Linked DNA regions of Danio rerio. The protein of the gene in region 1 interacts with the protein of each later gene in a biochemical or structural test. Links are inferred from orthologs where the notes say so. Each region holds a gene or a part of one and is shown on either strand. Other genes may lie near its edges.

Region 1 (17,404 bases):
ATCATTCGGCATGAAAAGTGGCTATTATTAAAGGCAAAGTCCTCTAGATTTGATCATGCCTTCATTTTTAATAATTTAATTAGGTCTGAATTTGCTTAGACAAAAGTCTTGTCACTTAACATAAATAATGTACAGAATAGAATATAAAGTCATGGTGCAGTGGGAAACGAATAAATATTGTGTATAACTGCCATGAGCTTAAAGGACTAAATCAGTACATCTCTGCAATGACTCAAATAACTTATTAATAAAGTCATCTGGAATGGCAAAGAGCACTTTTGTCTTGATACCTTAGGCTGTTGATGTTGCCATCCACTTTGCAGATCTCTCGCACACCCCCATACCGAATGTAAGCCCAAACAGTGATTTCTCCTTCACCAAACAAGACTGATTTCTTTAAAACTCTTGGACCTTGCAGATTCCAATAGGTCTTCAGCAGAAACATCTACCTTCTTCCACTTTTTCCAAATGATCAACTAAAAGTCAAGTTAATATTTGTTGCTCTTACAACTGGGATCGACAACAAGACTTTAAGTCAGGATGTATGTATTTTTTAGGACCATTTTGCACAAATTTATTCATTGTCTTTATTCTGTCCTTTTTTAATCACTTTAAATGTGAAATGTAAACGTGGTCCTCACAATATTTTAATTTATTTCATAAAAGCAGAAAAGCAATTACATTAAAATGTTTTTAGTATTAATGTAATTGAGAGCATTACATGATGAAAAAAGCTAATTGAAATATAAAAACCGCAGAAATAAGTAGCACAGTTAAAAAAAACAATATTGGCCAATATTTCCAATTAATTGAAAACAAAAACCCTCTAACACTAGCCAAAAAAACAAACAAACTATATGTTACCTATACATCTTTAGCTATTGCTTCATTTGAAAAACAATAAATGTCTGTAGTACTAAAAATATTCCAAATTTTTACCTATTTCCATGTGTCCGGCTGGTGATCACATGATCAGTAGTATTGGTAAGTTTTACACCACTGTAGCTCCAGGAAAAAGTATGCGGCTTTGGGTAAGCGTTCATTACCACTCGCAGAGACAGACTTTCACCAGCCCGCACTCTCCTAGTACTGTTATCCACACTTGTTATATTAATGAATCCTTTTTCTAGAGACACAAACACATAAAACATTGTTGTATTACCAGTGTATTGTATTAATGTGTCTTACAGACATTTTCAAAGCAAATTTCATTGCGATTAAAATATAAACTGAATCAATTCATGCATTCCCTAAGAATAAAATGAAATCTACCATAGATGTTGACCCAGACTGGCTTTGCAGTGGTCCCTTTCTCATTTATGGCCTCACAGCTGTAATTGCCGGCGTCCTGCATGGTCACAGAGCTCAGGCTGAGGATGGCCGTCCTCACGTGAGTAATGGGCTCCGTCAGAAGATGTGAGTTCTGGTGTACTGACGGGTTCTTGGCACATGCAACAGAAAAAACAGACAATAAACTGATTGGGCAACTATGGAAAATATGTGCATTGGCCGTGTATTGGGTAAAGTGCTTGTGGTTGTCTCTATGTGTGGGTGTGGCTGTTTTTCCAAATCTTTATGTAAAACAAAGCGTGTTATTCATCCTTCAAAGATCGGTCTCAGATGCCAGTGTGGTCTTAATGACTGACTGAAGATTTGTTTATGTACATAGCTTGTGTTTTCACACCATAGGTTTGCCAAAAATGCAGCTGCGAGTCCTGAAAATGTACGGGAGTTCACAGATGTGATTGTCAGTGGTTGTTAAAGCATAAGTTTAACCAGAAATTTAAATTATCCAATGATTTACTCACCCTCAAGGCATCTTGGGTGTATATGACTTTCTTCAAGAGTTATATTAAAGAATTTCCAGGCTCTTTCAAGCTGGCGGCAAGCGGGTGTTTGTCTTTAACAGTCTACTCTACAAAAGTCCAATAAAGTGCATCCATCCATTATAAAACCTGCTTTACAAGGGGGTCTTTCTGGCAGATGACATGCTGTAGGAAGTATGTGCAGTGCATGCTCCGTTGAACATTGAACTGCATTTGTCTTTCATCTTTTAAACATGTACAACAGTATGCAGAAGTTACACAATACTGGTGATATGGTTTGGTAAAGTAGTAAATCTCAATGTGCTGGGTAAATAGTGAATATGGATATTTTCTTACAGGAATGCATCAGTTCACAACAGGAGATGTTTACTCACCCCAATCGTTACGAATGGAAGTATTTTATGGGACTTGTTCTGGACTGCTAAAGAAAAATACCTGCCTGTTGCTATTGCAGAGCTTAAAAGAGCCAATATTTTTCAAATTAAATAACTCCAGTTAAAATTGACAGAAAGAAAAAAGTCATATAGACTTAGGGAACTTTGAGGGCACCGGTGGACCCTCCCACCCCCTGTAAATAACAGTGTTTAATACTTTAAATAATTGTGTAAATAAATAGTAAAATCATGAATGCTCTCATGGCACGAACACAACGGCTTGAAGTTCCAGACACTAGTAAAACATCTGTTTGTGTATATCCCAGTGTAGCAGAGGCCAGCTAATAAGCTATACAAGGCTCACTCCTCTGATATCAAGGGGTGGTCTGGTGGTGGTTCTCAAAGTTTACAGTTTTCCTCATTAAAGTGCCCATACATCTTCATTGCCATGATAACCTTTATTATTTGATTTGGAAGATGTTGAACCAGAAGGGTTACACTTTAAAGTTAAATGTTTGTTGATGTACTTTCAATTGAATAGTAAGTAGGAGGTGTGAATTTCTTTTTGCACATTATTCCCTCATAGCAAACTAATGGTAAGAGTGGTGTGGTCAAGAATACTGACATCAACAGAAAAATACTTCACTCAAAACATAGTAGCTCCTGGGGAGACTTTGATTGAAAATGACCAAAACCATTTCTATTCAGTGGACTAACTAACAAACATTCACCCAAAGAATAACAATGTACATTTTGATTTCACACAGACTTTAGCTGAACTGTGTGCGAACAACTATATTTGATCACTTTATTTTGATAGTCCGTTTGTTGAATTTAAGTTACATTGCATCTACATGCAAACTAATTCTCATAAAATTTTAAGTAGACTGTTAGGTTGAGTTTAGGGCTAGTGTAAGTTGACATGTACTTGCAAAGTTTCTTATAGTCGGTTAAATGTCTGTCGAAGGAGCAGTATCAACAGATTATAAGCAGACAGTCTACTGATACTCAAATGGACCATCAAAATAAAGTGTTACCCTATCTATAAACCTTGATCATATAAAATTCAAAGGAGCCTTTCAAATTGCACATCGTTCATTTTGACAAAATATTAAGTACAAACAAAATTTAAACTGTCATCCTCAGTGTACAAACACTCAACTGATCATGGGTACACAAACTTCCTTGTGCACTCATACCTTCTGTATGCTTTCTATAAGTATGCTTTGGAAAACAGTGGATTTCTTTGACAGGTGCGGTGTTTACTAAAGCCTGCAGTATGTACAGTTTATATATGAGTGTGTTGTGGCCATAGTGTGCTCAGGTAAACAGGTGAGAGCTGGTTGGTTGGTGATCTTACCACTCCGTTTGGAGCCTTCCACTTGACTGCGATGTCGCTGTTGACATTTGAGGTGGAGCAGGATAGGGAGAGTTTTTCCCCCTGGGTGAGCAACACTCTTTGAGGCTGACCCAGTGTGATCGGAGGAGGTGCGTCTGGAACTAAAAGCAAAGAGCTATGATGCATTGTATCAAAGCAGCAGGAACGTGTGGGAAAGGAAGAGCAAGCTACAGTGGGGTTACATGGACATGCATTTGTCTGGTGTCTGTATGTGTACTCTTGTTATGTTTATTAGTGCTGGCAATCAATGAGATGGTCTGTATTAAATAAATAATGTTATAGTCCTCAAAAATAAAAGTATAATTGTGAACAAAATTACTTTTTTCTTTTAAGAACGCTTACCAAGGCTGCATTTATTTGATCAAAAATACATTAAAAACAGGAGTATTGTGAAATATTAATACAATTGACCATTTCTATTTAAATGCATTTAAAAATGTTATTGAATTTCTGTGATGGCTGAGTTTTTATCATAATTACACTAATCTTCATTGTCATGATTTTTCAGAAATATTGATAAAATCCTGATTTGCTATTTATTGTAGTCAATGCATAAAACAAGTGAGCTTCTATATATTCTTCTTGAAACTGTGATGCTGTTTTTTAAGGTTGAGCAAAAAGCTAAAGGGAAAATTTATTTTAAACTTAGGCAGATTTAGATATTTCCTGTCACTCTTGATCAATTAAAGGCTTTCTTGGCAATTAAATTACTGTATTTTATTATTATGCAGCATTATTTTAAATATCAAAAGTATATATATATATATATATATATATATATATATATATATATATATATATATATATATATATATATATATATATATATACAGTTGAAGTCAGATTTATTGACCATTACAATTTTTTTATATTTACAATATGTCTGATAATATTTTTCCTTCTGGAGTTACTCTTATTTGTTTTATTTTGGCTAGTAAAATAAATCAGTTATTAGAAATAAGTTATTAAAAATATAATGTTTAGAAATGTACTGAAAAAATATTCTCTCCGTTAAACAGAAATTGGTGAAAAAAAAAAACATGGGGGCTAATAATTCTGACTTCAACTGTATATATATATATATATATATATATATATATATATATATATATATATATATATATATATATATATATATATATATATATATATATTTGTCTTTCTTAACTACACTTCAGACTAAATTGACAGCTCTAATATTCATGCATATCTCCATTTTTGTCTCTCACCAAGCCGAACAGTAAGTTGATATCTTCCTGATTTAACCGTAGCGGCATCCAAAGTTCCGACGCAGACGTAACATCCCTCAAATTCCTTCCTGACTTTTTCCACGGACACTCCTGTCTCAAGACTGGCTGAATATCGCAGACTGTTGGGAAGGGGCTGTCCGTCACATTTCTGCAGGTTCAAGTTTTTCATATCTGGGTCTGTTGCCAAGCATGGGATCACCGTCGTATCTCCTTCTGCCGCAACAATGTCGAACACGATGGTCCTCCTGAAGGGATTTTCAGGATCTGCTGAGAGGAATGCTAAATCAAAAACCAATGAAACACAACCAAGGGGGCTTAGATCAAGACTTTACAGCTCAGAGAAAGAGAGAAAGTGAAAAACAACCCTCCATCATACCTAACAAACAAATACAAGCAACCCACACCAACAGTGTTTACACTTGGAAAAACAAATCTGCCAAGGACTGAGTTTAAGTGTTCGTTAAGTTGGATTATAAGAACATGCTTGAAAAATCACATGGCACAGAATGACATGCAGGTCATGCAGGTAACAAGTAAACAAAGAGGGCTGAAGGTTGGTATTTGAGGCATCTGTGGGTGTATATGGAATGATATAGGAAGATGAGAGATGCTTGAGCATGTGTTCGTAGGAGAAAGAAAGGGAGAGTTAGGGAGGAAGATATAAAGATAAAGAACATAAACAGTTAGAACAAGTACATGAAAAACACATGTAATGGAGCAACTGTATTTTCTATACAAGTGGTGAGCCTACTGTTTATAAGGCTCAGAGTGGCACTTATATTGACTAATAATGCACAATTAATTGCTGGCTATATCGGTATAAGCCAATAAATGATTAATAATGGATGGTTAAGAACAATCATTGACCAATAAATCATATATTATTTCTGCCATTTGATTTACTGAAAGGGATATTTCACCCAAAAATTACAATTCTGTCATCATTTACTCACCCTTTACTTGTTTCAAACCTGTTTATGAGATAGTTTCTTCTGTTAAACACAAAAGAAGTTATTTTGAAACATGTTGGAAACCTGTAATCATTGGTTTTCATAGTATTTGCTTTTCTTACAATGGATGTCAATTGTTTTTTAAAACATCTTCTTTTGTGTTTGTCAAAAGAAAGACACTTTGAACCACTTGAAGGTAGGTAAATTATTGGTAAATTTTCATTATTGAGTGAACTATCCCTTAAAATAGAGATGCCCAAATTAGGGCCCGCAGGCAAATAATGGCCCATTTTAACGTTTGATATGGCGCACCATCATATCCGAGAAAGGAGTACAAATGATGGGCAAGGGCGAATGAGATTTTTATTTCTAGTTGATAATTATATTTTTTGTTTGTTTGTTTTATTGCTGAGCTACAAAATAAAAGCCAACTGAAATTGAATGTTTCATTTAAATGTTAAATGTAAATACGTTAATTTACTTTGTAAAAATATAAATATTGTCACTCAACAGATCGAGAACAATGTACAGTAGAAGACATCTTCGAGCAAATAAAGGCAAAATCAGGAACAGTTGACTAGCATAAATCCAATCTGTTATAAATTAAATCTTTTTTTTACTGTAATAAATTCATGATAAAAATGTAAAAACAAAATTGAATACTGCATTAGTTAATACAAAGCAGTGCTTTCTAGTTATTTTTAAATATTGTTAAATAAATTAGGAAGTGCCCATGGCAGCTACATTTACCTTTGGCTCTTCATAATAAAAAGTTTGGGCACCCCTGCCTTAACACTAGAACCGCCGGAGGTCAATGTATTCCTAAAATCGCCAGTGTAGGTAAATTATATTTAGAAATTGCTAAAAAAAAAAAAAAAACATACTATTTCCCAGTTTTTCGCCGCTGTTAACAAAAAGTGTCTAGACTCAGGAAATGATTATTTTATTTCCAAGTGATGGGTTGAAGCTGGAAGGGCATCAGTTCTGCGTAAAACATGCTGGATAAGTTGGCCATTCATTCTGCTGTGGCGACCCCAGATAAATAAAGGGACTAGGCCAAAAAGAAAATGAATGAATGAATGAACGAATGAATGAATGAATGAATGCATGAATGAATGAATGAATGAATGAATGAATGAATGAATGAATGAATGAACGAATGAATGAATGAATAAATGAATGAATGAAAATTATTTTTAGAGTAGGTTATGAGTAGGTTAAAATTTCTAAATTGCAGCCATCATACTCTGATGCATAACTTATTTCTCTAGACTGCCTCATTTGTTGCATTTTTTTGTTTTTAATAGCTCAACAAACCATCTTCTTTTAGTCATTGTGACTTTATTCATTTATTATATCCATTAATTCAGTAAAACTGAAAGTAAAAGTCATTGGTGAGTAATTTTAAACATAAGCAGTGCCTAAATACAAACATTTTTCTATAGTGGTTAAATTTAACCCACGCTGGTGCGTATAGGTATAAATGTCCCACTTTTTAATCTTTTTTATCCAAACAATTTTTAATATCTGGGAATTGTAAATAAGGCAATTTTAGTAAAGGTCAATGACTGGGAGGCTTGAATGTCTGTTATGTACATTTGAATAACAGTTATGGGTAAAATTGACCCCATGGCGGTTCCAGTGTTAAAGACATGTCTTGCGAGCCATAAGCGATTTAATCGGTGTCTATTACATGGAATGATTTTGTAAGAAAAACTGAATTTGAGAATTGTATCTGTTTGCTTGGTTTTCTAACCAGGTTTTATATCAAGACCTGATTTGATTTCTAAATAAAAAGAAATATTGGTTATTTTATTGGTATCTTGCAAAATGACCATACCTAATTCCTAATACAGTTTCTCAATCCAAACAAATGAAACACAATTTATTTACTGATTTTTGTGGAAGAAAATAAAAACCCTGCATAGCAATTGTAAGAAGTAATAATCCTTTCATTTGCATCCTCCAGTTATGCTAAAGCTAGAATGTCAAACAAGCTGATCTGATCCAATCTCATCATTCCTCCCACTATAACATTCCACCCCGATCCAATAGACCCTTATCACATTTCCGGGTTTCTCACTAGCGGAAGGCGTCATAGCTAAATAAACTTAAGAGTGCAGTGAATGGGAGAGTACAACAAATTTTATTCAGTCCTATTTGTTGAAATAATAAATGAAAAACTCCACCATGGTGTTATCCAGACTTTCAGAAAAAGGGAAAAAAAACATGTCAGACTGATGACGGCAATGAGAAGAGAGAATAACATCAAAATTACTCTCAGCCCCATAGACACTGCATTAAAAACACCTCAAACGAGCAGGAATTAGTTTTTTCTAATTTGACGCAAAGATGATATACATTCATAAATGGATAGATATGTTTATACGTTTTTTTAAAAATATAAATATAAACCTTCAAGGCTTTAAGATTATGATGATTGTTAAACTCATCATAGCAGTCTTGTGAATAGGGTCCATTGGTTGAGTATCTCAACATTTTCACATTATGGTGGAAAACACTGCAGTATATCATCTTCATTATAGTGCTGTAAAGGGATCCCAGATGTCCTATATTGAGGTTGTTTAAATCAAGACTGCCTGATTCAAATATACCTGATCTAATACTGTTTAATAAAGTTTGATTGGTCCAAATATATATAGAGTTTACATGTATGGTACTGTTTGATCTCTACCACTGAGTTTTTTTCTACAAACTGTTGTGATAAATACAACCAATAATGACATCTTTATTTGTTAGAATTTAAATTTTAATTTATTTAATTTGAGAGTTTGTTCACTCAGTTTTTGCCTTTGCCACTGGTCTGTACAGTATCTCTACTAGTATCTATTCAAACTGTGGCATGCAGGTTTGCGAACACATAAAAATGTGGTAGCAACAATCATGCAGGTATAACAAACAAGGCAGATGCTAAATTACATACAGTAAAGGAGGGTTCAGAATTCCTTAAATATTGCCCTACAGACATGTCACTCAGCCCAGACAATTTATTACACCCAATTAAAACACGCTCTATAAAAGATGCACTTACCTTTCACATACACATAGATTGAGCTCTTTTCACCAGTCTTCTCCTCTCTACACGAATATTTGCCCAAGTGTTGAGGGCCGGCTCTGTTTACTTTAAGAATTGTCTGTTGACCCTGTCTTTGTTCCTCCTTCAGGGTACGCATGGGACGGTTTTCATGCTGCCAGCGCACTGTACTGTTACTCTGGCAATGCAAACTGAAGTTGCTGTACAGTGGTACTGTTAGCCGGGGACCTTCTGGGGTAATGGTAGGCCTCGACCTGCCTGAGAGGAAACGAGAATGTTTAACATTTGATGAACATACAAGAGGATAGACAAGTACGTACATATTTTACACACACAGACATACAAACCAACACACAAACCAAAGCCCTTGCATAAATGGCAGTTTTGGGTGTGTATTGGACAGTTTCACAATTTCAATTCAAAATGTCTATACCGTGTTCCTCAAATAAATTTCTCTAGAAATGGCAATTTCAGACAGTTGAACAGCTGCTCATCTAGTTTCGCTCATCTTATCTTAGATTCTTGATTGAAGTATAGCATCTTTTTACACACAACGCTCCAATCATTGCTGCAATTTATTATACAGATGCAACCTTTAATTTAAGCTTTAGAGTTTTAAACAAATAAAGGTGTAGTCATCTTGCACTTCTCCAACAGACTGAGAACATGGTGAAAATGCATTTTAAAAACTGCAAAGAAACAAAGGAAAACAGTCAAACTAAAAAAAAAAAAGCATTTCTTTGTAACATGGAAATAAAATTTGCAGCTGTTTATATAAATTATATTTTTTTCTTAACAAACACACCGATAAAGCAAAAAGGACTTATTTTTTGGAGGGAAAATATTTACTCTCCGCAGTTGCTATAGCAACTTTTTAAAGAAAAATACTCAAGATAGTACTCTAAAACCACTGGAGCTCTTGATAAAAAATAAATAAATAAATTTCTCTCTCTCTTTCTCTATTTTTTTTGTGGAAAAATATGTTTTAAATATGTGGAAATATGTTAAGTAAAATGTAAAATGTTAAGTTAGTCATTTCTTTCTAATTTTAGATAAAAGTATATATATATATATATATATATATATATATATATATATATATATATATATATATATATATATATATATATATATATATATATATATATATATATATTTCAATTTTAGTTACTTTTATTTAAAATAGGGTGACACGGTGGCGCAGTGGGTAGCACAATCGCCTCACTGCAAGAAGGTCGCTGATTCGAGTCTTGGCTCGGTCAGTTGGCATTTTTGCCAGGAGTTTGCATGTTCTCCCCGTGTTCCCGTGGGTTTCCTCCGGTTTCCCTCACTAGTCCAAAGACATGTGGTAAAGAAGAATTGGGTAAGCTAAATTATCTGTAGTGTATGTGTGTGAATGAGTGTGTATGGATGTTTATGCAGATTTTCTGCGTAAAACATATGCTGGATAAGTTGGCGGTTCATTCCACTGTGGCGACCCCAGAATAATAATGGAACTAAACCGAAAAGAGAATGAATTAATATACAGTTAAAATCAGAATTATTAGCCCCCCTTTGAATTTTTTTTTTCCTTTTTAAATATTTCCTAAATGTTGTTTAACAGAGCAATTAAATTTTTACAGTATGCCTGATAATATTTTTTTCTTCTGGAGAAAGTCTTATTTGTTTTATTTCGGCTAGAATAAAAGCGGTTTTTATTTTGAAAAAACATTTTAAGTTTTAACATTCAAAATTGTTCGCTCCTTTAAGCTATATATTTTTTTCAATAATCTACAATACAAACTAGTGTTATACAATAACTTGCCTAATTACACTAACCTGCCTAGTGAACCTAACTAACCTAGTTGCTGCATAGAAGTGTCTTGAAAACCTTTTAGTAAAATATTATTTACTGTCAACATGAAAAAGATAAAATCAATAAATCAGTTATTAGAAATGAGTTATATATATATATGAAACCCACACAAACATGGGGAGAACATGCACAGAAATGCCAACTGACTCAGCAGAGGCTCGAACCTGCGACCTTCTTGCTGTGAGACGAGAGCGCAACCCATTGTGCCACCTTGCGTCGCCTATACAAATAAAATATTTATATAAATAATTTAATTATCGATTTCAGTGATTTAAATGATGAATTTTCAGCTTCATTACTCCAGTCTTTAGAGTCACATGATCCTTTAAAAATAACTCTAATATTATTATTATTATTATTATTATTATTATTATTATTATTATTAATTGTGATAGTAATAAAAAATCACTTGAAACTACATACAATAAGAAAGCATGTATTTAAATTTTTAATTAATATTTAACAATTTAACATTTTTTTACATTTAATAAATGCCACCTTAATAAACAGAATCATTAAAAAAACAAAAAACAAACAAACAAACAAACAAACAAAATGACCCCAATACACTGTAGTGTGTATAAATCAAAGATTATGGTATCGAAGTGTAAGAATGGTTTGTGGTATAGCTAATAAATTCTGTGCATTAAGCCGTGATTGTTTTCTGTAGTTAGCTTAGATTGATAGATAATCATATTAATGACTCCTAAGTTAATGTTTAGATGCAGAAGCAACTTAAAAATAAAGGTATGTATGAATGGTATGAATGGAAGTATCTTCAATAAATGTTCAATAAAACATTACTTTTTGCATCTGCTTATTTCAGTCTTGATTTCTGAGAATGTGAGAAAGGAGGTAGGGGGTACGCTACGGCCCCCATGGTTGCCTCAAGTTAAAATGAGATAACATGATAAAAATATAGAAGCTGTGGTTTAGCCTGATTAGCTGCTTGCCTCAGTGCAAACTGTCACTCTGTGCCAAGAAAACAGCATCTGCAAAGTCAGGTGTCCTTCCAGAGAAAAACCTAAGCACAACCGTTCCATGTTTACTTGTCTTCCGCAAAGCTCCAAACACCAACACCACATAGACATATAAGAATGAGAGAAATACAACTCTGAGAGTAACACTAGTAAAGCAGATTATCACCTTGTCACCTCATTGGTTAAACCATGCAGAGAGTTTTTTTTTTATCTTAATTACACCATTACGACAGCATTATGAGTTGCTGAACAGAGGTGATGTAAAGGAGCTGAGTGTTCACTATAAGCTAATGATGCTTGATAAATATGATAGCCTGCAAGATCAGTAACATTTAGTCCCAGATGCAAACAGATCTTTCATTTATTCATAGGGACTTGTGATACCATCGTTAGTCACTAGAGGCACCAGCCTACATGCAGAACCAATTAATACATGCAACACCAAAAGGCTTAGTTATGAATATAATTATTATGCTCAAACGGTTTATATCAGGGCATTAAATAATTATGCACATTTGTTCCATGTGAACGACTTCTCATGGCTGTTATCCGAAAGCCCGTAGCGTTATCGGTTTAAAAGAACCCGATGCAAAGTAGTCAATTGAGCGCTGAAGCCCTCTGGCGTTGCAAAGCTGATTTTCAGATTCATGCCAAAACCACACTAAATGCGTGTGCATGTGTTCTGCATTGTCCACGCTCGCTCTAAACCTGATCATTTGAATTGAATGAAGTCCTTCATACCACGGCTCTGATTGCCACGATTCTACAGGTAAGCCTCTCTAAAAGCGCGTTCGTGAAATTTAAGCAAAGCATCACAACAGATTCTTACTTGAAACGTAAATTCACCACATGAAAAACAGCAGTTGAAAACTAACTAAGACAAAAAGTATCTTTGTTTAAAAGCACGAGTTACACTGGGATAAAAGTCTGAACACATGATACGCAGTGGTCAGTTAACAGATGCAGTCCAGACTTGCCCCTCATCTTTTAGAACATCCATAAGGGCTTATCTGAGCAGTACAAAAGACCATCTGATACGTCCATGAGGTGCCAGCGAGCCAAAGCAAAAAAAAAAAAAAAAAAAAAAAAAAGTCAGGGTGAAGCATGCAAAACATCTTCAATGGCTTTTGGGATAAAACAAGGAATTCCAGATCATTTACATACAACCTTTGTCCAGACTAAAGGAACAATAATAAAATTAACCAAAAATGCAAACACATTAAGGCATTTTTGAAAACTCCAACAAACTTTAACCTTAAGGTGTAATTTTATCTTTAGATATCTTTTAAAACTCGTGTTTATTTCTGGTCATATATGCTGCCCATTCCTTAACATTATTGATATCAACGTTCTTAGAAAGTTTAACAGCCATGAAACCTTTATTTCCCACAAAATGTTTTTATAGTGGAAAAAACAAGTTATTTACATGTTTTAAACGTTCTTCGTTTTAAAACATGTCCACTCAGTGTTATGTCATTAAATTAAATTAATTTTGAACAATCAAAATTGTTCTTCAAAGGCATTGCACAACAAACTTTATGTTAATTCTTGACAAAATAAAGTGTTTTAAACACAGTACGTGTTTAGTTAATGTTACTGGACCTAAAGTGCTGAAGCTGGACACTGTTGCTATGGCTACCTCCTCAGATGACCGCGATTTCTGTTCGCAAATGTCTACTTTTGTCGACTTTTTAAAATGTAATTTGTAGCAGCATGTATAACTAAACGCCTAGTAAAAAAACATTTGTTCAAAAGCTTTCCAATGCTTTCAAGCGACAATGCGTTCATCGCTCACCGTGCCATTTTATCTAAAAAATAAACTTGTGTAATTGTTTTAGCGTCTAAACTCTTTCCTTCACGTCCCTCTCCAGCTGAAACAGGCTTCATATTCCTCCACTTGTTGCGGAGACGCGCGCGCGCTCGAGCCTGAGTGATGAATAATTGAGAGCAGCGCGCGGATCGGCTTTACTTTACATTCTCACCTGCCGCTCTCCGGATCAATATCTTGTTTCAATGAGCGGTTCCTGTAACTGCTTAAATTCCTGATATATAGAGTCTCTGCACGGTAAGTGAAGAGGATATGATTCACAGGGATGATCAGTGGAAACTCTCACAAGCTGTTTAGATTTTAGTTTTCAGAGAATGGGAGAGCTCTGGACTGACAGACCAGCATGAAAGCCCCGTCTTGACACACAATTAAATTATAATGAAAGACAGAACAGTGTGTAGATTAATATTAAACTGCTTTAATAATGAATCATGAGTAGAAGCAACAGGTCCATACATTATTCTCAGAAAGTAATCCGTTTTGCTTCGGTAGTAACTCAGCAAGGCTCTCTTCTCAGCAAGTGCACATCCCTACTCCTCACTGAACAACTTCTAGTTTATCTTTAAGCTTGGGGAACAAAGTAAGACCATAAAAAAAGCAAAAAAAAGATAACAGCCGCCCTACCTGGTTGGATGATTAACTGCAACAAAACAGTAAACAGAACGCAGTGATATTCCATTGTTATAAGTCCATCTATCTCATGTGTGTTGTATAGTCTTGGAGCTCGATAATAACGCCGAACGGTCGCCTGCGGAGCGATCACTGCCGTCTTAAAGGGCCAGCCTTGTTTTCTACCTTGTAGCCTGCGCGCGGGTCATGCGGAACGACGAGCGAGCCTGGGCGGGGACAGGGAGGTAACAACATCAACAGCAATAATGCTAGTCATACCTGAGACGCACAAAAGAGGTTACAAGTGCCACGGGGTGACACGTGGCTTGTCAGAAGAAACTGTGAATTGCCCATAACAAACTGTATAATGATAAGTAGGGCGATCTAATTGATTTATTAGACTGCAGATTCAATACAGGCTCCTCTTTGTGTGATAATGCTGATCTGTCAATGGCGAATTTGCAACACAAACTAAAACATTTAGATTTTCACAGAACTTCATGGAATGTTATTAGCACACAAAAAAAGAAAAGAACACAGGCTGTGTATTTCCAGATGCAAAAAGAGGTATAAAAGATAATTACACATCACCTTATCTCATGATAGCAATAATGTTTACAGCATGAGGTGATAGGTGAATGATTTAGCAGGGGGTTGTAGGTCTGCTGTACTTTCCTTTTCATAAACCATGCACATTGGTTTGATTTATTTCACAGTTATCACTGATTTTGACAAGCACATCGTGGGGTAATTAGCTTTGGAACCAGCAAGATTAGCCTCATCTGCATCATACTTTGATTTTGTCTGAGAACAAAGAACTATTAAACATAAATGAGTGGATAGTGGTAGTATTGTTTTAAGCATTTGTTTGTCATTAATGTCTGTGAGAGGCTTTGTATCTTTCCTAATCTGCTCCACTGATATCCAATATTTGTATTGGCTTTCAAAAATAGAATGATTGATATTTTATGCTTTTATTATAACAAACAACAGAGTTTCACTATACTTGTCATTCTAACATATAACTTAAATGTGACAGCCGAACTCCACTTCACCCTGTTATTTACCCATATTTCTCAATGAGCCAGTAGCCAGGAGTCATTTTGAATTATAAAAAAAAAATAACATGTTGCTATTTTCCCATTCTTCAACATCATCTTGTGATTTTGCATCATTCCAGACTCTGAGATAAACACATTCATTGTTTTTTTTTGTTTTTTTTTATTCAATATTGAACTGTCAAATGTGAAATAAAAGTGCTGAACAAGTTCAACAAGGCAAATATAACCTTGAGGGAAACAAAATGATTTTGAATGGTTCTCGAATATGCCCAATGATTGTGCCAATAGAACAAAATGTACAAACATTAAAATGGATTTATATCCTACACACTAGCACAAATTAGTTAAGCCAGCTGCTGTAAATCATTCCACATATATACCCATGGCCTCATTAAATCGGTATTACTGCGCCAGTGTGTCTCTGTGGTACAGTATACATCATGCTTTTCAGCAAAATGTGTTGCAAATAGTTAAATATTCACTTATTAATATACAAGTGACACCATCATGACTATGACAGTTGGCTTCATTTACCTTTAAATCATCTTTGAAATAAAAATATAGTTTTTTCTTGGATTAGTATACTTGTTATGAATTAAAGGTGACATTTCCAAAGCAGCTTTAATGAAAGAATGATATATAGAATGACAAACAACAATGTAAAACGTAACCCAATATTCAATTTAACTCGTGTTTATTTATATAGCGCTTTTACAATGTAGATTGTGTCAAAGCAGCTTAGAAGTTTAGGTAACCTGAAAATGTGTCAATCCAGTTTTCAGATTTAAATCATCCCAGTCAATCAAAATTAATACATTTAGTAACACTTTAGGGACCAATTATCACTATTAATCTTGGCAGTACTATTATTATTACTTTTAAAGCACTGTTCTGTATGATCTTATTCTACATCCGTAATCCTACCCAATACCTAAACTACATTAATAACTGTTAAAAAGGAGCAAATTAGGAGTTTATTTAAGCAAAAGTCAAAACAGTTTGCTAAGAGTGAGAACTGAAACTTAAAATAAAATTGTGACGAAAAATTCCATCCAAGTATAACAAAGTATATTGCAATATATATTGCAGAAAAAGTAAATATTGCAATGTCAGATTTTTCCAATATCGTACAGTCCTAGTAATCAGTACATTTTATAAACACGTTTTGATAGTTCAGTAAGATTACACATTTATAACCTAGTGAAATACAAGATGTAAAAGTACTGACATGTAATATCAGAAACACTGTCGTAGTATTTTGTTTTAAAATAATAATGAACACTGCTACCATTTTTCCCATGAAAAGGTATTTTTGGTGTAATAGCTATAAATGGGTTATGGGATTTTCTAAATATTAAGAACATTTGTATTTAAATGTAAACAACAAAGAAAAAGCACTCACTCACTCAGAATAGTCCAATAAAGAAGTGAAGGTCAGGGCAGGAAGAAAACAAACATAAAACAAGGAACAAAACAGGCAGGGCAATATCCACAACTGAAAAACGATACTAAGCACTGAATGTGTGTGAATGTGGTGCTTATATGCGTGTCATACATTCCCACAGGTGTAGTTTAATCAGAGTCAGATGGGTCACAGCTGTAGCTGGGTTACTGGTGTAATGCATAGTGGGAGGTGTAGTCCAGGGCTGCGTCCGAAACCACATACTTCCATACTATATAGTACGCTAAAATTAGTATGCAAGTCGAGTAGTATGTCCGAATTCATAGAATCGAAAATAAGAATGCGAGAAGTACCCGGATGACTTACTAATTCCTGTGAGATTCTGGAGTGCGCATCCCATGCTTGCTGCCCTGCGAGTGAATTTATAAATGGGAGTGAAGCGACACAATTGACAGGTAGATCATGTGACTATGACAAAATGGCGAATGTAGTACGTCTGAATTCCATTCATACTTTTCACATTCATACTGTATAGAACTTACTTTTCTAACGGCTGAGTAGTACGTTTAGATTCTAATGCAGTACCTACTGAGTAGTAGGCGGTTTCGGACCCAGCCCAGGTGAATGGCAGGGATGAGGGATGGCACTCGTACTGTTGACTGTATAATATGTTACTGTTAAAGTCAGCTTGAATCAAAAATATTGCTGAGGCTTTTATTTCAGTAGGGATGTACTTCCATCTGAAACAAAATAGTCATGAGGGGCGGGGCTATATTTTTGCTAATCACTGCCTCATAGCAAACTAACCGTACAAG
Region 2 (17,404 bases), on another chromosome or scaffold:
GAATTTAATTAGCATTTTTGAACATTTCAACATGATGGGCTACTGTCCCATCATTATTTTATCATGTTCAAATTTTCGTCTTACTACATGAATTCCTTCAACTCTTACAAGTGATATTTGAAGGTATAATAGAAGTTTCGATTTAATTTATTGATGTAGAAATCAACAGGTTTAAACCTGATCCCATTTAACAACGCAACAGCGGAAACGACAGCACCAATTCACTCATCATACCCATCAGGCTTCTTGAATTGGCAGTTCTCTGTGTGTGCGTGTATGTGTGCGTGTGTGTGGCATGGTGGATGCAGCCAGCCTGCCCTCTGTTCTTTACTAATGGATAATCCAGGCTCGGGGGCCTGCTTCAGTTTAATCCTTCCCACTGCTTTTGTTTTCCCTCCCACTTTAAACTAGAGATGATTTGACAACCGGCAGTTTTTTCTTTTTTTTTTTTTTTATAATCAGCCAATTTGTTTGTAATATAACCTCGCCTTTTGGTGAAAATTCATCTTCTTTACATCCAAATCTGCCATCTATGAGATTTGTTTAGATCTGATGAGATTTTTTTTTTTTTTCTGTCTGTTAGTGTCACACAGCAAAACTGAACATAAAATGAGGTTATATCAATTCTGGCTGATTGAATTTAGTCCCATTTTTTGGAAGAAATTTGTTTAATTTTTTTTTCCCCCATTTTGTGTGAAATGGCAGTTTAAGATAACAAAAGATAATAAAGTAGAGATGACAGCAGCACAACTTCTCTTTGAACTGTTCACTGTTGCTATATTTAGCTCCTACATCTATTAATGCATTAATGCTTTTTCCATTTTGTGTTTTATGTAGGGTTATTGTCTTGCATAATTAATGAAGTCTATTTTAACCATTACAGGCAGATACAGATATGTTCAAGAATAACTTAATGTTTATTAGTAGTGTTGGGAGGCTTAGACCAAAAAGGGTTTTCTCTTTCCATGCTATGCTTTTCATTTTTTTATTTAACACCATTCTTGTTTAAATCATTGTAAAAAAAAATGGCAAATGAAATCAGCCTTAAAAAAAATCAAGATCAGTGCATCACTAGTTAAAACCATCTAATTTCTACCATGTTTCCATTTTACCATACTGAACCATCCACACACTGGTGAAAATTCCATTGTTTACATAGTCAAGGCGAGCAGGCTAATGATAGCTGACTGCAGAGGCGAGCGAGCAAACAAAAATCAATAAACTCGTCATTCAGCATGTCTATAAATGCTTAACTAAACTCTATTATGTGGCTGGAATAGCATCTGATGCCACATTTCCAATGACAAATGAAGTTACCTGGGAGCCGCTAACTAGCTATTAGCGTACTGTTATGGTATTGCTTTTGTGAGACTGTGATTTCAACCAAGTGTTAAGCGTTTAACTTGAGTTGTTTTTTTTATTATTATTATTATTCTTGCAGGTGGCGTAACATTCTTTGTGGCCTTATATGATTATGAAGCCAGGACATCAGATGACCTCTCCTTCAGTAAAGGCGATAGATTTCAAATCATCAACAACACGTGAGTCCTTCGATTAAGAGGACCATTGGGATTATTTTTTGTTTTGGCTCTGGAAAATTGTGATCAGAAGTGAAATGTGTTGTTATGTTCGATACCATCAGTTATTTTTAATGAGAGACTTGTAGTTCTTGAATGTGAAAAATTATCTGTTATGCTTTTCGTATTAATCAAGAAAACTCGGTCAATTTAGTTGATAAATTTTCTTAGCGTGTCCCTTTTTTAGTTGTTTATGTGGATAACCACTGGTGAAAAAAAAAAATAAATAAAATTATATATATATATATATATATATATATATATATATATATATATATATATATATATATATATATATATACATATATATATATTTAATGTATTACACATACTGAATATATTTATAATATTTGTGATCAAAATAAAAACTGATCACACAATTTTTTTTAAATTGTTGGTTACGAAAGTCACTATGTCAGATTATGCAATTTTTATCTTGACTTGTCGTGGGTAACAAATGTGCCAGACTATACGTTTTGTGTACGATGAGCGTTATTTCTCAAAGCAGTCACAAGTGTTGCTATAACAATATTTCTTATCATTAATTTTAATGTTTTTTTAATCTTATGTCAATCTTAATAAACACTCATTGTTGCTGACAACTAGGCTACATTATTTATATATTTATATTATTTACATTCCTTATGACATCGATAGAATCAAATGTATATACATTATATACAATGTAAATGTATTGAGAAATTTTCTTATAAATCTAAATGTATATTTTTTTGCCAGGGTTGCTTATTTAACACACCCTCGCCTGAACTTGCTGCAAGTGAGACAGAGAAAATAAAAGCCTATCAGCAGCAAGGAAACATCAGATACCTAAGACATAATATTTAAAATAATGACATGTTAAAAAATTTTTTAAATATTTGACAGGTTTTTGATAAAACAATTACTGTAAAGCATTAAATACTTATTTTCATTGAGTAAAACAAATCATCCGAATAGTGGACGGGCACAAACAAAAATATAATTTATATATTTTTCTTGAAAAAAATATATTTTTAAAATGATGTTTTTGTTTGGTAAAATTTGTATCTTAATTTTAATGTATTTTTTGTTGGTCAGTTATCTACTGGGTAAACAAGAATAACGAATAACATCTGAGGTCACATCCTTCAAAACCAGTCATATATATATATATATATATATATATCTATATATATATATATATATATATATATATATATATATATATATATATATATATATATATATATATATAAATATAAATATATATATATAAATATATATATATATTCCATTGTATTTCATAAATGTTTAGGGCAAAATCCTGTCAGAGTTTATGCATTTCCATAATGGCCCATCTGCTCAACCACCAGCATGTTTAGCTTTCAGTGAACGCTCACTGCTCAACATCCAATCCCCTCACCCGGTCTAATGACCCTGACATTTTAATCATATACCTTTCATTCCTTTGCTATTCTGCATTTTATGTTGTTGCTAACAGCCTGCAGGCTCTTGTTTTTTAAGTTGTTTTCTGTTTGTGCTGTTGAAGGACATAAACCTTTTTTCCTCCCTCTCTCTCCCTCTATCTTTGGGCCCATAGAGAGGGTGACTGGTGGGAGGCTCGCTCCATCAACACGGGCCAGAAGGGCTACATTCCCAGCAATTACGTGGCCCCTGCAGACTCCATCCAGGCGGAAGAGTAAGTAACTCCTCTCCTCCTGTGCTCATCCAGTCATCTTATCCCTTCACGCCGTAATTAAGAGAGCGTGATGGCCGGTCACACGAACGCCCAGAGCCCTGGTGCTGACAAACACACCAAGAAACGCGTGACTGACTGTCAGACAAAAGACTCTCTTTCAGTTACAAACTTTACGTCTGACTCTCTGCTGTACTTCTTCTTTCATACTGGTCTGTTCTCTAGCTCCATTTATCCATGTTCTCCTATATCTCTTTGTAAAAGCTTTGTTTTTATTTTGTTCTTTGTAGATTTATCAATTAATTTATTTTCTATCAATTAACCTCACTTGTTGCTATGGTGACCAAAATTAAATAATTTTTTTTTATGTTTGCATCAGTATGTTTGTTTAAATGATATGTATAAGCTAGTGTGCTCCAAAACAATGACAAAAACACGTTTAGCTTAGTTTATTTATTCATAAAGTACAATAAAACAACTGTTCGTCACCTTAGAATTATAAGGTTCTAACTGACAATTTTTGTCAAAATTGAGTTATTGAAATATTCTTACTAAATGTAAGCTTATTTACATTATGGGATGTTTTTTATAAGTTGTTTACATTTTAAGATTTTTTATTTAAAAAAAAACTAATGTTACACACATACTGTTTAATATGGAATGCAAAAACTTTGAATCCCAATATCTCTGCATTTTGGATCACTTGAAAATTCCATTTATATGAGATTGGCCAATACCCACATAAATTGCGTTACAGTAGTCCAAGCGTAAAAAGCCTTTCACTTTGGCTGATAATCTCAACTGGAAAAACAAGATTTAACTACTGCATTTACCTGTTTATCAAACAAAAGCAGAATCAAGGATAAAACCTAGATTTCTTAGAGATGGTTTAATGTAATCGGATAAATTGTCCAACATTTGATTCGGCTTTTGCTTCTTCTTGTTTAGTTTTAAGAAATTCTTTGAAAATTTAGAAGAAGACGCTTTAATGGTTAAATAATTTTTTGACATCACATCATTTTTCAGTTTCTCATCAAATCTTCTGACTAATCAAATGCTCTTTAACATCTGAAATGTCCTTTCAAGAGGCTTTTCATTTACTTCTTATTTGATGTGGTTTATCTCAGTCACTAACTGGCAGAGCTATTATAAAAACGAAATGCTGTTGACTGTTTTTTATAAAGGGGTCTTAATGTTTCAATAGAGATTACGGGACATTTCAAATAAAAATACACATTTCAAAGCACTTCACAGGATGTAAACATGAAGTAAACTTCAAGTTCAGCTAATTTCCCATGTACAGAGGTAGAGGCCAGTGGAACACTATGTAGGGACTGGAACATGTCCATCTTAGCACAGTTTCTTGTTGGAGCTCTCTTCTAATCAGGTGTGTTAAGCAAAAGAGGTATGCAAAATAATCGGCAAGAACCAGGATTGACAACCACTGCTTTAAGGTGTTTAGTTTTATGTATGTATTCACAATTGTTCTGTTTTGTGGAGATTAAACGTATTGACATAGCACAGTCAATTTAGGTATACACATTCTTACATATATAGAGGTTGTACTAAAACAGGGGTGCACAAACTCGGTCCTGAAGGGCCGGTGTCTTGCATAGTTTAGCTGCAACATCCGTCAACACACCAGACTAGAAGTTTCTAGTATAACTAGAAAAGAGCTTGATTAGCTGGTTCAGGTGTGTCTAATTGGAGTTGGAACCAAACTCTCTGCAGGACACCAGCCCTCCACGACCAAGTTTGGCTATGTTGCAATGAAAAAGATGCAATAAATAAGTTTTTATTATGGGTATCACTAATATAACAATGTAGATTTAATTTCAGTTCATTTCTGTAAATCATTTCCATTGAATTCAGTTGGTGTCTTTTTAAAATATATTTTAATGTTGCACCAAAAAAATACAGTAAGAAGTATTGAAGTAAATCCTTTATGAAGACTTCATATATCAAATAAAAGTATAAATGAGTTTTAAAAATGAATGATCAAAATGGTTGGTCCACCACATTCCAAACCAATTTAAGATGGCTGACCAATATATTTATCTTTACCTCACAGATGGTACTTTGGGAAAATGGGTCGTAAAGATGCTGAGCGACTGCTGCTTCTTCCCGGAAACCAACGGGGCACCTTTTTAGTCCGAGAAAGTGAGACCACTAAAGGTAAGTAGACCGCAATTCATCTTAAGACATGTGCAACCAAAGCAGAGTTATTTTTAATCCATTCCTCACTCTCCTGGCAGGAGCTTACTCTCTCTCAATACGAGACTGGGATGAGATGAAGGGAGACAACGTGAAACACTACAAAATCCGAAAGCTTGACAGCGGAGGCTATTACATCACCACAAGGGCTCAGTTTGACACCCTACAGAAACTGGTGAAGCATTACACAGGTTAGCATGTTCAGCTGTGCCAACATTTTGAGTCATACTGAAGTTATATAATATTATGGGTTCAATTGTGTATTGTCTTCAAACGTTTTAGGTCAGTAAAATGTACATATTTAAAAATAAAAAGGTGCTATGATACTTTAAGGCTGTCAAAAATAGCTTTCATTTCGGTTAAATTTTTCAATTTAACATGTAAAAGTGTTACACAGCATGCAGTTTTTGTATTTTTTGCATAATTAGATTTTTTTTGTCTTTATAGTAACTATATAGTAATTATAAACGACAAATTTTTCTCCTCAGTAGGTCATGGATAAAATACGGTAATTCTTATGGTTTAATAAAAATAAATAGATTTTTGGAAATCACCAGGCAACCCCCTTCATTGTCAGGCGACCCCTCGGGGGGTCCCGACCCTCACTTTGAGAACCACTGATCTAAGGGTTTGCAAAAAAGGACCTGAAATCCTGGGCCCTACGTACATACTTAAGGAAAGGAGTTCAGATTTAATAAAAAAAAAAGTATCAACTTTTGCCCTTGACCAACAAAAAATTAAGAAGTCACATCTTCTATTAAATAAGAGATTAATTCTACTCCAAATATTTTTCTTCTACAAATGCAATGCATAAAATCACCATATAATCAGATCTTTAATGTTTACACTAGAAGTTTTAGTTGTGTTGTAAAAGTTAAACTTGAAAAGTTAAATCATTCTATAAATCCATCAAAAATCATTGTAATATGTTAATGTGGTGCTCAAGAAATTTGAAAAACTTATCAGTTAAAAACTTTATTCCTAATATATTTGTGTAAACATTTTGCTTAATTTGAAAAATAATAGGAAGCTCAAAAAAACTGCATTTATTTAAAATAAAATCATTTGTAATTATTTATATAGGTCACTTTGCATCTTAGCAGATTTAAAGGGCACTTATTTTACCCGTTTTTAAGATTTAAGAAGTCTTTTGTGTCTCCAGAGTATGTCTGTAAAGTTTTAACTCAAACCACCCATCAGATTGTTTATTAAACCTTTCAGAATATTAGAATTTTCTGCTTGAATACCTTGTAGCTGTTTTTGGTGCCTGTGCTAGTTCTCCCCGCCCATCGTTCCCAATTGCCTGTCAGAGTGTACCTCAATCTCCACCTTGGTTGCGTCAGATAAACAGCACAGTGACAGACATGAAGCAGATCTCACTTAACGTTTGTGAGAAATACTACAGTAAGAACTTTCCCAATGATTATTTAATGTATTTGTTTTGGAGTTAATTCAAGCCTTTTCGCAACGGTGAGTCACAACGATGTCATCACCAAGTTACACACAGCACGCGCATTTAACTGGCACGTTTTTGATAGGATAAACATTAATATCCACTGCTCAGTTATGTTAATGTACAAAATAAACATCATTTAACATCCACAAACCAGGCTTGAAGCATCTTCTTTTGTAATTGTACTGACGGATAAAGACGGTAAAATCGCCGTAATTCATTACAAACTTGAACTGTTTTAAAAACATTTTAGCTTGTAAAATTTATTCTTGATCGCATTTGATGATGATTGATGATCACAGAGAGCTCAACAAATCTTTTAATCCCAGTTGCTTTGCACACGTTCTGTCTTGTTGATATGATATTACTACATATATGCTTTACTACGGATATGCGTTACACTACAAATCGGTAGGTGGGGAAACTGCACTCCTATGCCATGTTGTTGTGGGCCTCAAAATGGGAGGCATTTGGATCCAATTTTATTTAAAAAAAATGTATTCATCAGGAAATAAAACAAAAAAAGAGACTTATTGTCTTTAAATCACTCCAATATGACTGTAAACACACTCTACCTACACACACAAAGTTGATTGTCATCATAGGTGCCCTTTAAAAAAATTGACCCAAAATGTGAGGGGTAGTCCTAGGGAAACAATAGTTTGTTGTACTTTCTTTCAGTTCAAATGTACATTAATAGTTTAATACAAACAATGACATGGCCAGAGGCGTTGTGTGGAGTACAGAAGTGTCATGGTGATTTGAAGCCTAGGGTTCTCGCTGTGACTAGCGCTAACAGGTGCCTGACATCTGCTGAGAGAAACATGTCCCCGTTCACCCAGACTGTCAGTTAATCTTGGCTTAGTTTACACAGGAGAATGTCTGAGAGGCCTTCTGACATCCACACCTCTTTGATCTTATGAGACGTTACGTGAGTGTCCTACCTGCGCTTTTGTAGATCACGTCAGTCACCTTCAAGCACTAGCCATTTAGTTTGAGTTAAGCAATCTGATGGTAAAGTATGTGGCATCATTTTAATCAACATTTTTAGCTTTTTTTGCCACACTTATTTTATTTTATTTTTTTTTAACTTTTGTTTTTTATTCGTTTTAACATAACGGAACAAACAGATCACCAGAGGCATCACATACAATTATTACATTCTTCTTATACAGTCGTTTTTATAGTACAGGTTACTCTCCCATCAGCCCCCACCCTAACCCGTCAGTAAAAGGTACTGTGTTATAAGCATAAACACCAACATAGTTTCCTTCAAGTCCATATGATTCAGTCTTTTATTTGCCACACTTATTGCTAGCATGTCAATAGAGTTTATAGATGCATCGCAATCTGAATACGTATGCACTATTGTATTCTGTCTTTTTTGAATACTTACTGTAAATGAGGAAAGGAAAGGAAGACATGCACTTTAAATGACCTGAAAGTGCTAAACTTTATCAGGGTATATGCAGGGTCTTAAAAAGTCTTACATTTTAGGCCTCAAGTCTTAAATCCACTGAAATATTGTGTTGTACATTTTAAATAATTTTTAGCGTGTCTTAATTTTCCTATGTCCGTTGTAAAGCTACGCCTACCCATCCAATCAGTATTGATATATTTCAATAAAAGCTTTAAGAAAGGTTTATTTATTAATTGTTTACTTATTAATATGGCCTAATTATCTTCCTTACAATAACATTTCTTTTTAAATTTGTTTTTCAGGTTTTAACTTGGCCATTTAATAATCTTTAGCGTTTTAGCACCTTGTTTAAGCCTGCATTTTCAATCATTATGGTCTTAAAATGGTCTTAAAAAAGGTTTTAAAAGTCTTAAATTTAACTTTAAACCTGTAGAAATCATGTTTATTAAATGGGAAAATGTGTAAAATGATGGACAATTTATACACAAAATACCTTTAAGTTTATACACTAGATAGTTGACTGATTATTGTATCTACATAGCATGTAGTACGTCATTTGTTACTCTCCTAATCATACAGCCTTACCATCTCCTTAGACAAACATTTACAGTAGAACAGTGTGTACCTATTCTGTTCTAGCATTACAATGCACCACCTACAAAGGGACGTCAGTATAGAAATGGTTGGAAGACTTTAAATAGAAGTTCTTCAACGCCCCCAAGTTAAGTTTTTTTTTCCTTTTCTGTACTCAGTTTCTCTTAAAATGTTTCCCTCCATCTTGTTATTAAACTCAAAAATACATCCTACCTTGAGCATGTTATGGAATGGTATTGTACTGCTTTTAATTAAAATAAATCCTAATTTTTTTGATAAATAGAGAGTTTAATTTTATATCTATTTTGATCAATTTAATGCATTCTTGGTGGTTATAATCTGTATAAAGGGGGTCCGGGTCACTTTTAATGTCTATATATTTTAATTAAATAAAAAATCGATAAATTGTTTCTGTCAGGCATTTCACACAAACTGTCGCAGAGGGCCTGTGAAAGTAACAAATTTGCTGTTCAGATTCGTCTTATCTGAAGAATGTCAAGGCGTAATGAAAGGCCATCAGTCCTTGTCTAGCACTCGCTATGCAACCTGCTTCGTAAAGGTTTTAATCTTGTTGTTGAAAGACAGTGACTAATGGGCTTTAAAGCTGGATAAGTGATGAATTAATGACTTTTACCCTTACCAGGTCATTTAGTAGCCTTGCTTTTTTATGATCTCCTATTGTGTGAAATTTGTGAACATAACACACACCTTGTTTAATTCAGAACATCTCATTTTACTTTTACTACTTTATGAGATTTGACTTGACAATTCTGTGTTGTCTACAATTGGGTATAATTTACCTTACTGGCTTAAGGGAAACTACTACTCTCATTTACCTAGTTTTATGAGAGCTCACTCTGACATCACTGTGTTGTGTGTGTTTGTAGAGCATGCAGATGGGCTGTGTTATCGACTCACTACAGTGTGTCCGACGGTGAAGCCCCAAACTCAGGGTCTGGCTAAAGATGCATGGGAAATACCTCGAGAGTCACTGCGTCTGGAGCTTAAGCTGGGTCAGGGCTGCTTCGGAGAGGTTTGGATGGGTAAGACATGCAAATACAGCTAGAGAGCTCACATTTTAACTAACATTTTGGTGTTAATAGATGCATCTTAATGTTTTGGGAGATTTGTTTACTAATGATAAATAAAAGTGCCAACTAAGATCTTCCCCTTAGATGAATTACCCTTAGATTGATTAAACTTCAACACTTTTAGAGTGGTGATCTCTTTCTTTTTTTCAGGTTAAGTGAGGTTTGATAATTGAACATTGTTTTTTTGTGCTGGTATCTTGGCTGTTTTAGGCTACTCATGGATAAATATGGCACTATAATATGGAACCAAAAGGTTATGGCAGGTTCTTCTCATTGAGTGATTCACAGAATCATTTATTAAAGTGATTTTTTTTATGCAAGTCACTGGCTGTTTCTCAATTCCATGAATGCAGAGAACAAACTTGCATTCTCAAGGAGACTGTTCTTGCCAGGTTACCTCGGAAGAACGATTTCGGGAGACAGTGAGAACACATCGCTTCCTCTAAGAAATGAGATGCTGCGTTTTTCCTGATGGTCACATGACCTTCATGCATTTTAAAGGAAAATTATTTAAACATTACAGCATTAATACAATGATTTGTTTTTTCCCTTTTAAATATATATAACATGCACAAAACCTTACAAATGTATTTTGCACAATACAAATAAAACCGGTTTTAATATAAAATTTAGCTAATATACATCCTTAATTTGTTTATAACTTTATTAAGAGTTTCATGGTAATGTTTACTTTCACTGTGTCATTTGAGAAAACTTCTGAGATAAATAAATTATATTTCGGAACTTTAATAATAAACATGTATAGAATTCTGTGCTTCCCACCTTCTTTATTCAGGATCAGCTGCAATGACTTCTGGGACTTCTCGGGGGAGTTTTGTGTTCAAGTCAGTGCATCCTCGATATTAAGAAGATATGCGGGAACTCTCACGCATCCTCTGTTCTTGCGGTCTTGGGTTTTAGAACTGAACTTTGGCAGCTGATGTTGGCATTACATGAGAACATAAAGACACAAAACCGGTGAAGAAAGCATATTAAGAAACAACCACCGTCTTCATGAATGAGTGATAGAATTACTGACTTGCTCTGTTTGTTTAAAAACAGGTTCATTCAGGATTAAAACACCACAGTGGTAGTGTTTGGTAGTTGTTCTGCTCTTACTTTGTTTGGGTTTTAAAAAAAACTCATATACAATATGTAAACCCGCTCAGTTTTAACTTCCAGTTTGTTAAACTGCGGAATAAAATCAAAACAACATATGCGATGATGCTCGCTGATATTGGAGAAAACCACACTTTGTGCATGTAATGACTTTTGTATTACCAACACAATCTCACTGCGATTCGAATCACTGATTGATTTAGTGGCTAATTTGTGTGAATATTTACGACCTCATTCGTATAATTTAGTACGATTTGCTCATCTCCAGTGACGGTTGGTTTGTGTTGGGTGTGGCGGCATGCCTCATTTTTAAAATGTGAATTAGCCAGTAAACTGACAAAGCAAAAAATAGTTACTTTCCTTTGTGAGATCAGGCTGGTATTACATGTCTTAACATATTACAAAAAGCAAAACCAATACACTACTTTTTGCTTTCATAACTCATATTATAGTGCCATTTTTATAGACTTCATCATACAGTCAATCCTTTCAAGATGTGTTTGTGTGTTTGTCAGCTCACACATTATTAGAGCCGCAATTACCATAATTATTGTATTCCATAAATATCACACACCCTAATTTCAGTTAATAATTTACAACTATTATTTAGCCAAAGTGCTTTATACATTGTCAGTTCACCAATATTTACACCTGCACAGACTTATAAACATTATAAAGTGTTAGGAGTGACTACAGCATTTAAATACTGAAGTGAATCCCTAAATTACACCATACTGAAACCACAGCAATTATCTGGCATCTCAAGCCTTTGGTATCTGATATTTTTTAACAAAAGTAATATTACATAAACCAAATATTCATTTTGATTTGTAGTTTTAACCAATTTATTGTCAACAGAAGCGTTATACTGTGTTAATGTTTAAGGTTTTACACAGTGTGCTCTTGAAGTGTTGCCATGTCCACTTATTATAAATGTCTTTGGGCTTACTGTTTAGGATACTCACATAAACAGAGTTGATGGAGTTTTGAAAGCAGGAAGGTGCAAGTTATGATACTTTGGTCTTGTCTTCAGAAGAAATCTTTTGTACCTAATTAAGTTTATTATTGTACTGTATTTTTCAAGCAATACCTGGCAACACAAACAAGTCAGGTCTAGTACCTCTTTTTCTGGGACTTTCTTGTATTGTGTGCATGCAAATGGGACACTCTGCTCTAATAAGTGTTTAAATGTAAGTAACAGTTCGTTGTTATGTGCCATACATACTGCATAGTTTCTTTCAGTGTGTTTGTCACAATGCGTTTGTCAGGAGTTAATTCAGTTACTGAATGCGGCTGTCACTCACATAAAATGCTGAACTATACAAACAGACTTGCGCATTAAACTTCAGATTCATTCAAAATTTTCTACATGGCAAAAATACAGCAGAGTTTATATACTAGAGTGAAGTGTAAAAGGGTGTTATTAGGTATTTGTCTGTCATCATCTCTAGTAAACTCGTCCTGCTGCAAGCTCCGGCATGTCACCTCATATCAGCAATGTGAGGAATTTCTCTTATTGTTTGTGTATGTTTGTTTCAACATGCACAATAGCTTCCACATAACCATTCTCTCATGAATTGGCAGTCTGTGCCATGGCTGTTTAAACGGTATTCTCAAAAACAAGGTGTGTGTGTGTGTGTGTGTGTGTGTGTGTGTGTGTGTGTGTGTGTGTGTGTGTGTGTGTGTGTGTGTGTGTGTGTGTGTGTGTGTGTGTGTGTGTGTGTGTGTGTGTGTGTGTGTGTGTGTGTGTGTGTGTGTGTGAGAGAGACTGTATTTGTAAGAGTGTGTGTGTGTGTTTTCCTCAGCCACATTTCTTTATCGTTAGGTTTTTAAATCAAATCATTCCTGATACTTTCGATTTACCAAAGTGCTGCATTTATTTAGGGTTAATTTCTTTTCCCTTTTTCTAGGCACTTGGAATGGCACGACTAAGGTAGCTATTAAGACCCTGAAGCCGGGCACCATGTCTCCCGAAGCCTTCCTGCAGGAGGCCCAGATCATGAAGAAGCTCCGGCATGATAAGCTCGTTCCGCTGTATGCTGTTGTGTCTGAAGAGCCAATTTACATTGTCACTGAATACATGGGCAAAGGTAGCTGACACTCTCTTTCTTTACTTTCTTCATGTGTGTTTATTTATCAGTTCAAGCAATGACACAGCAGCAACTTAATAATATGCAATAGTAATTTGACAAATTGATTTGAAACAGATGAAGTTTGAAACAGATGGCATAGATAGATAACTACATATAGGTTAGCATGTTTCTAGTTTGGATTGGCATGTTTCTTGCTAAGTGGTTTATGGGGTGTTCTTAGTAGTTGCTATAGTGCTGCTAAGTGGTTGCTAGAGTGTTCTAAATGGTTGCTAAGGCCTTGCTAGGGTGTTCTGAGGTGTTGCTAAGATTGTGCCAGGGTGTTCTATGTGGTTGCTAGGCTGTTGCTAAGGCATTGCTGTGGTGTTTTGACTGGTTGTTTAGACGTTGCTAGGCGGTTGCTAGGGTGTTCTGAGTAGTTGCTAGGCAGTTGCTTACATAAATTAGCATGGTTCTAGTATGAATTAGCATGTTGCTAGCATGTTTCTAGCATAAATTAGCATGTTGTTAGCATAGTTCTAATAATAATTAGCATGTTGCTAGCATGTTTCTAGTATGAACTAGCATGTTATTAGCATGAATTTAGTATGAGTCCAACCTTAAGTCACAAAGTTTGGTCCAATGTTAAGTCAGTGGGACTTGTCCAAATTTTCCAGGTCAGTTTTTGGAAAAACGAAAATTGGATCAGTTGAAAAAGATATAGCAACTTAATTCAGTATAGTTTGAAGGTTTGGAGTTGCGTTCCTAACAGTCTTAGAAAAAGAAGACGGAAGAAGAAGAATAAGTTTTGGTAGTATAACAGTATGTTGGCTTTCTCAATTCACCATAATAAAAAAGGGAAGGTTTTTTTAACGTTTTTTGCGTTTTGGAGACATGAAAACAAATTAAAATGGATATTAAGCTGCAAGATGTTCTAAAATTATTGTTTAATGTACTAAATTTATTGTCGCAAGAGTAATGTTAACACCATTACACAAATTATATATTTATTTTATAGATCATATGTTTAAATATAATATTTATGAATCCTACGTTTAGATAAAAAAAAAAAATTCTATTAAATGTGAAATAGTTAAAAAAATTGTTATTATTAAGAGGTGACATACTGCTTTGGTTCAAAAAGTTAAATTGTTTTCTGATATCTGCATGAGTAGGTATATGCCTTAGGTAAGTTCAAACCTTCTCCAGAAATGGTTTTAATTTATATACTCGTTTGTTACCCCCATAAAATGCACCACAATCAGAAAATCCTTATTGACCATATTAGGTTGGTCATGAATGTTAATGAACTCCGCTCTGATGCAGCTCACAGTACCTTTTTCTTTCTCTTTAATGTGTGCAAAATAATCATATTTAATGTTGTGTTTTAGCTACGAAAGGCTGTGCTACATTATATAGTTGGTTTTTAATTAATGTTGTAAATATCTTGTCTTTGTATCATTTAGGCATGGGCCGGTATAAGATTCTGACGGTGTGATAACCTTGGATAAAAATATTTCGATTTCATGGTATTACGGTATTGTGCTCACTGCTCTAAAATATCTTCTTTTTAAATGTCTGGGTAAAAAAACTAAAACTTTTTTCCCTTTAAAAAAAACTCAATATATTCTATTTTTCTTTTAGATTTATGATATTTTGGAGCAGTAAACACGTCAGGCTATATAATTCAAATAAATCATTGATGTTTTCATTTGTTTTAAAAACACAGATTTTTTTTTACAGTTTGAAACGGCATCTTTACATATTTTTTAAAAATAAACAAACCTAAAAAACAACAACAAAAAAAAATGTAAATAAAAAATCTTACATATACATTAGAAGCGTTATTACAGATTTTTCCAAACCACAGTATACCTTAAGAACGGTTATCGTCCCATGCCTAGTGTCATTTATAATACATGTTGGAAAGATCTTCAATCGATACCTCTGTCTTTCAGGGAGCTTGCTGGACTTTTTGAAGGAGGGTGAGGGTAAATACCTCAAATTGCCCCAGCTGGTTGACATGGCTGCCCAGGTAAGAGAGAGAAACCCAAGCACTGTTAACCAGCCAGCTTTGTCGTCCTCTTCCACATTTAGTAACACACACATCCACCCGATTATGAGCAGAACCTGGATGGGCTGCATTCTCCCAGAGCGCCATGGTTTCAGTTTCAGATTCCATCTGCCTGTCATATTTATTTAATATCTGATATGACATCCTGCTGCCCACACATCTCTCTCTGGCTCTATGATCCTCATTTCCCGCCTAATGCCTGGAGCACTTAAACGCCACTCCTGTGGGGCCACTTCACTTAATGTGTCTACTCAATTCTGCTCTGTTCGCTTAAAAAGCTTGCCATTGCTCGCTCACGATCCTCTCTACTGCTCCATCCCTCTCTCTTTCTGGTCTCCCTGAGTCCCTTCACTGCCACTGAGCTTGGCTGAGGCTTCAATCTTCCTCACACATCACAGTTTGCGAGGAGACGCTTATGAAAACCTTTTGGACAGCTTTTAAGTCTGAGATTATTTCTTACGTTCCCTCAAGAATGTTGCTTCCCATTTTTGAGTTCTCCTCTTTTAAGCTTGTTTAGCAACCTGTTTTCATGCTTTAGGGCCTACTCACACTATGCCATCCGTACTGTGCCCAGGCCCGTTTCCTGAATCGTTTGAGAAGTGAGTGCGCTGAATCGGGCTCAAGCACGGTTCACTTTGCCGGCCCTGGCCCGGTTGGAAGAGGTGGGCCTGAGCGCGGTACGTTTGTAGTGTGAGTGCAAAACGCGCCAAAGCCCGAAACTGAAAGCAAGACGTGACTTTTAAGAGACTGTTTCATATGGATTTATTAATAATTCTTACTGTTCAGTGAACGCAAACTGCCGTAGCTTATTAAATACGCAAACCCCTCACTGCACGACAGCTGCGCCTTCAGCAGACCTCCTCATTCCTGCAGCACAAAAGCTTTACGATTGTTTATGAGCCCCAAAAGTGGCGGTTCTGTTCGGCGAAATATCTGACTGCGTGTCACCACATCCCTAAGGACTGTTTGGCAAAATATTTGACTGCATGTCACTGCATATCAAACTGACTGGAACGATATAACTAGAGAAATTTCCACTGTGCTGCTAAGTGAGAACGAGTGAGAGCGCTTCTCACTGAACAGCGCAGCATCGATGACGTAAGCGTGCCCAGGCCCGATTGTGGTGTGAGTGCGGGCCATCGGGGAAGACGGGAGGGGGGAAAAGTGTGCTTTGGCCCGGTTCGAGGCACTGTACCTAGTGTGAGTACGGCCTTGGAGACTTGCCCATCAGCAGCTATTTAGAGTTTTCACATCTGAAAGTTAAAGCACAACATTATTTTTTATGAGATTGATCGTTTGACCTTTAGAAGATACATTTAGGCAAGAAGTCGGAGTATGTTTTCCTAAATTATAATTTATTTTTGCCAAATTCAGATTTTGTGCCTTTTAAAGATTTTCTGGATTGCATTTATTCGGTTCGTTTTATTTTTGTTCTGCTTTCTTTTTTTTTAATAGTTAAATTACATTTTTTAAATCAAAATGCTTCTCTCATTAATTTTAGTAATGAAACATTTTGAAAATGAACATTTTACAGTGACCATTCCCTTTTTATTTCTGTTAAATTAGTCTTTGTTTTTCTCTTTTTCTCAAGTCAACTAATGTTTAAATTATATTTTAGAAATTAAAATGGAAACTAACGTCACACAACTTACAATACAATTTAACATTTTACAGTAGCATTTCTGATTTTTTACAGCAGTGTTATGAGCTCAATCATTATTTTGCCTCATTTTCAATTTTATTTCTGTTAAAATTACATTTTAAACCTTAATTCTTTGGTATTTTTATATTTTATTATTACTGTTAGCTTTTTATGATTATTTTAGTTAATTTCATCAAGTTAAACTTTTATATTGATGATGTGTAATGCCTTTTCTTTCTTGATCACACATGACGATAGCATTTTCAAATAAAATTATGTGAAATTTAAACAAAAAACAATGTCCCTATAGTGAGGTTGACTGGAAAAAACCACACATCACAAAGTGCTTCAGTATGTGTAAACAATTGTGCTATTCATTCACTCCTATTTATTTATTTTTTTTTTTTTTCTAAAATGTAGTCTTTATTGTTATTTGATTTAAGTACAAACTGATTTTAATTTATTCATCGAAAAAA

Evidence for each region.
Region 2: the proteins of kita (region 1) and yes1 form a complex in vitro, tested with the Homo sapiens proteins (2 studies listed by BioGRID and IntAct, with this or other methods). The link is inferred for Danio rerio from reciprocal best matches to the Homo sapiens genes KIT and YES1.

The regions. Positions count from the first base shown.
Region 1 is NC_133195.1:24,913,682-24,931,085, forward strand, and holds the start of kita (mast/stem cell growth factor receptor kita), read right to left. Parts: upstream 14,282-17,404; 5' UTR 14,197-14,281; coding exon 14,142-14,196; intron 9,113-14,141; coding exon 8,852-9,112; intron 5,129-8,851; coding exon 4,829-5,128; intron 3,701-4,828; coding exon 3,561-3,700; intron 1,442-3,560; coding exon 1,273-1,441; intron 1,127-1,272; coding exon 940-1,126; intron 1-939. UniProt on the Homo sapiens protein: Tyrosine-protein kinase that acts as a cell-surface receptor for the cytokine KITLG/SCF and plays an essential role in the regulation of cell survival and proliferation, hematopoiesis, stem cell maintenance, gametogenesis, mast cell development, migration and function, and in melanogenesis.
Region 2 is NC_133177.1:34,301,054-34,318,457, forward strand, and holds part of yes1 (tyrosine-protein kinase yes), read left to right. Parts: intron 1-1,441; coding exon 1,442-1,541; intron 1,542-3,156; coding exon 3,157-3,255; intron 3,256-5,323; coding exon 5,324-5,427; intron 5,428-5,507; coding exon 5,508-5,657; intron 5,658-9,820; coding exon 9,821-9,976; intron 9,977-13,053; coding exon 13,054-13,233; intron 13,234-15,170; coding exon 15,171-15,247; intron 15,248-17,404. UniProt on the Homo sapiens protein: Non-receptor protein tyrosine kinase that is involved in the regulation of cell growth and survival, apoptosis, cell-cell adhesion, cytoskeleton remodeling, and differentiation.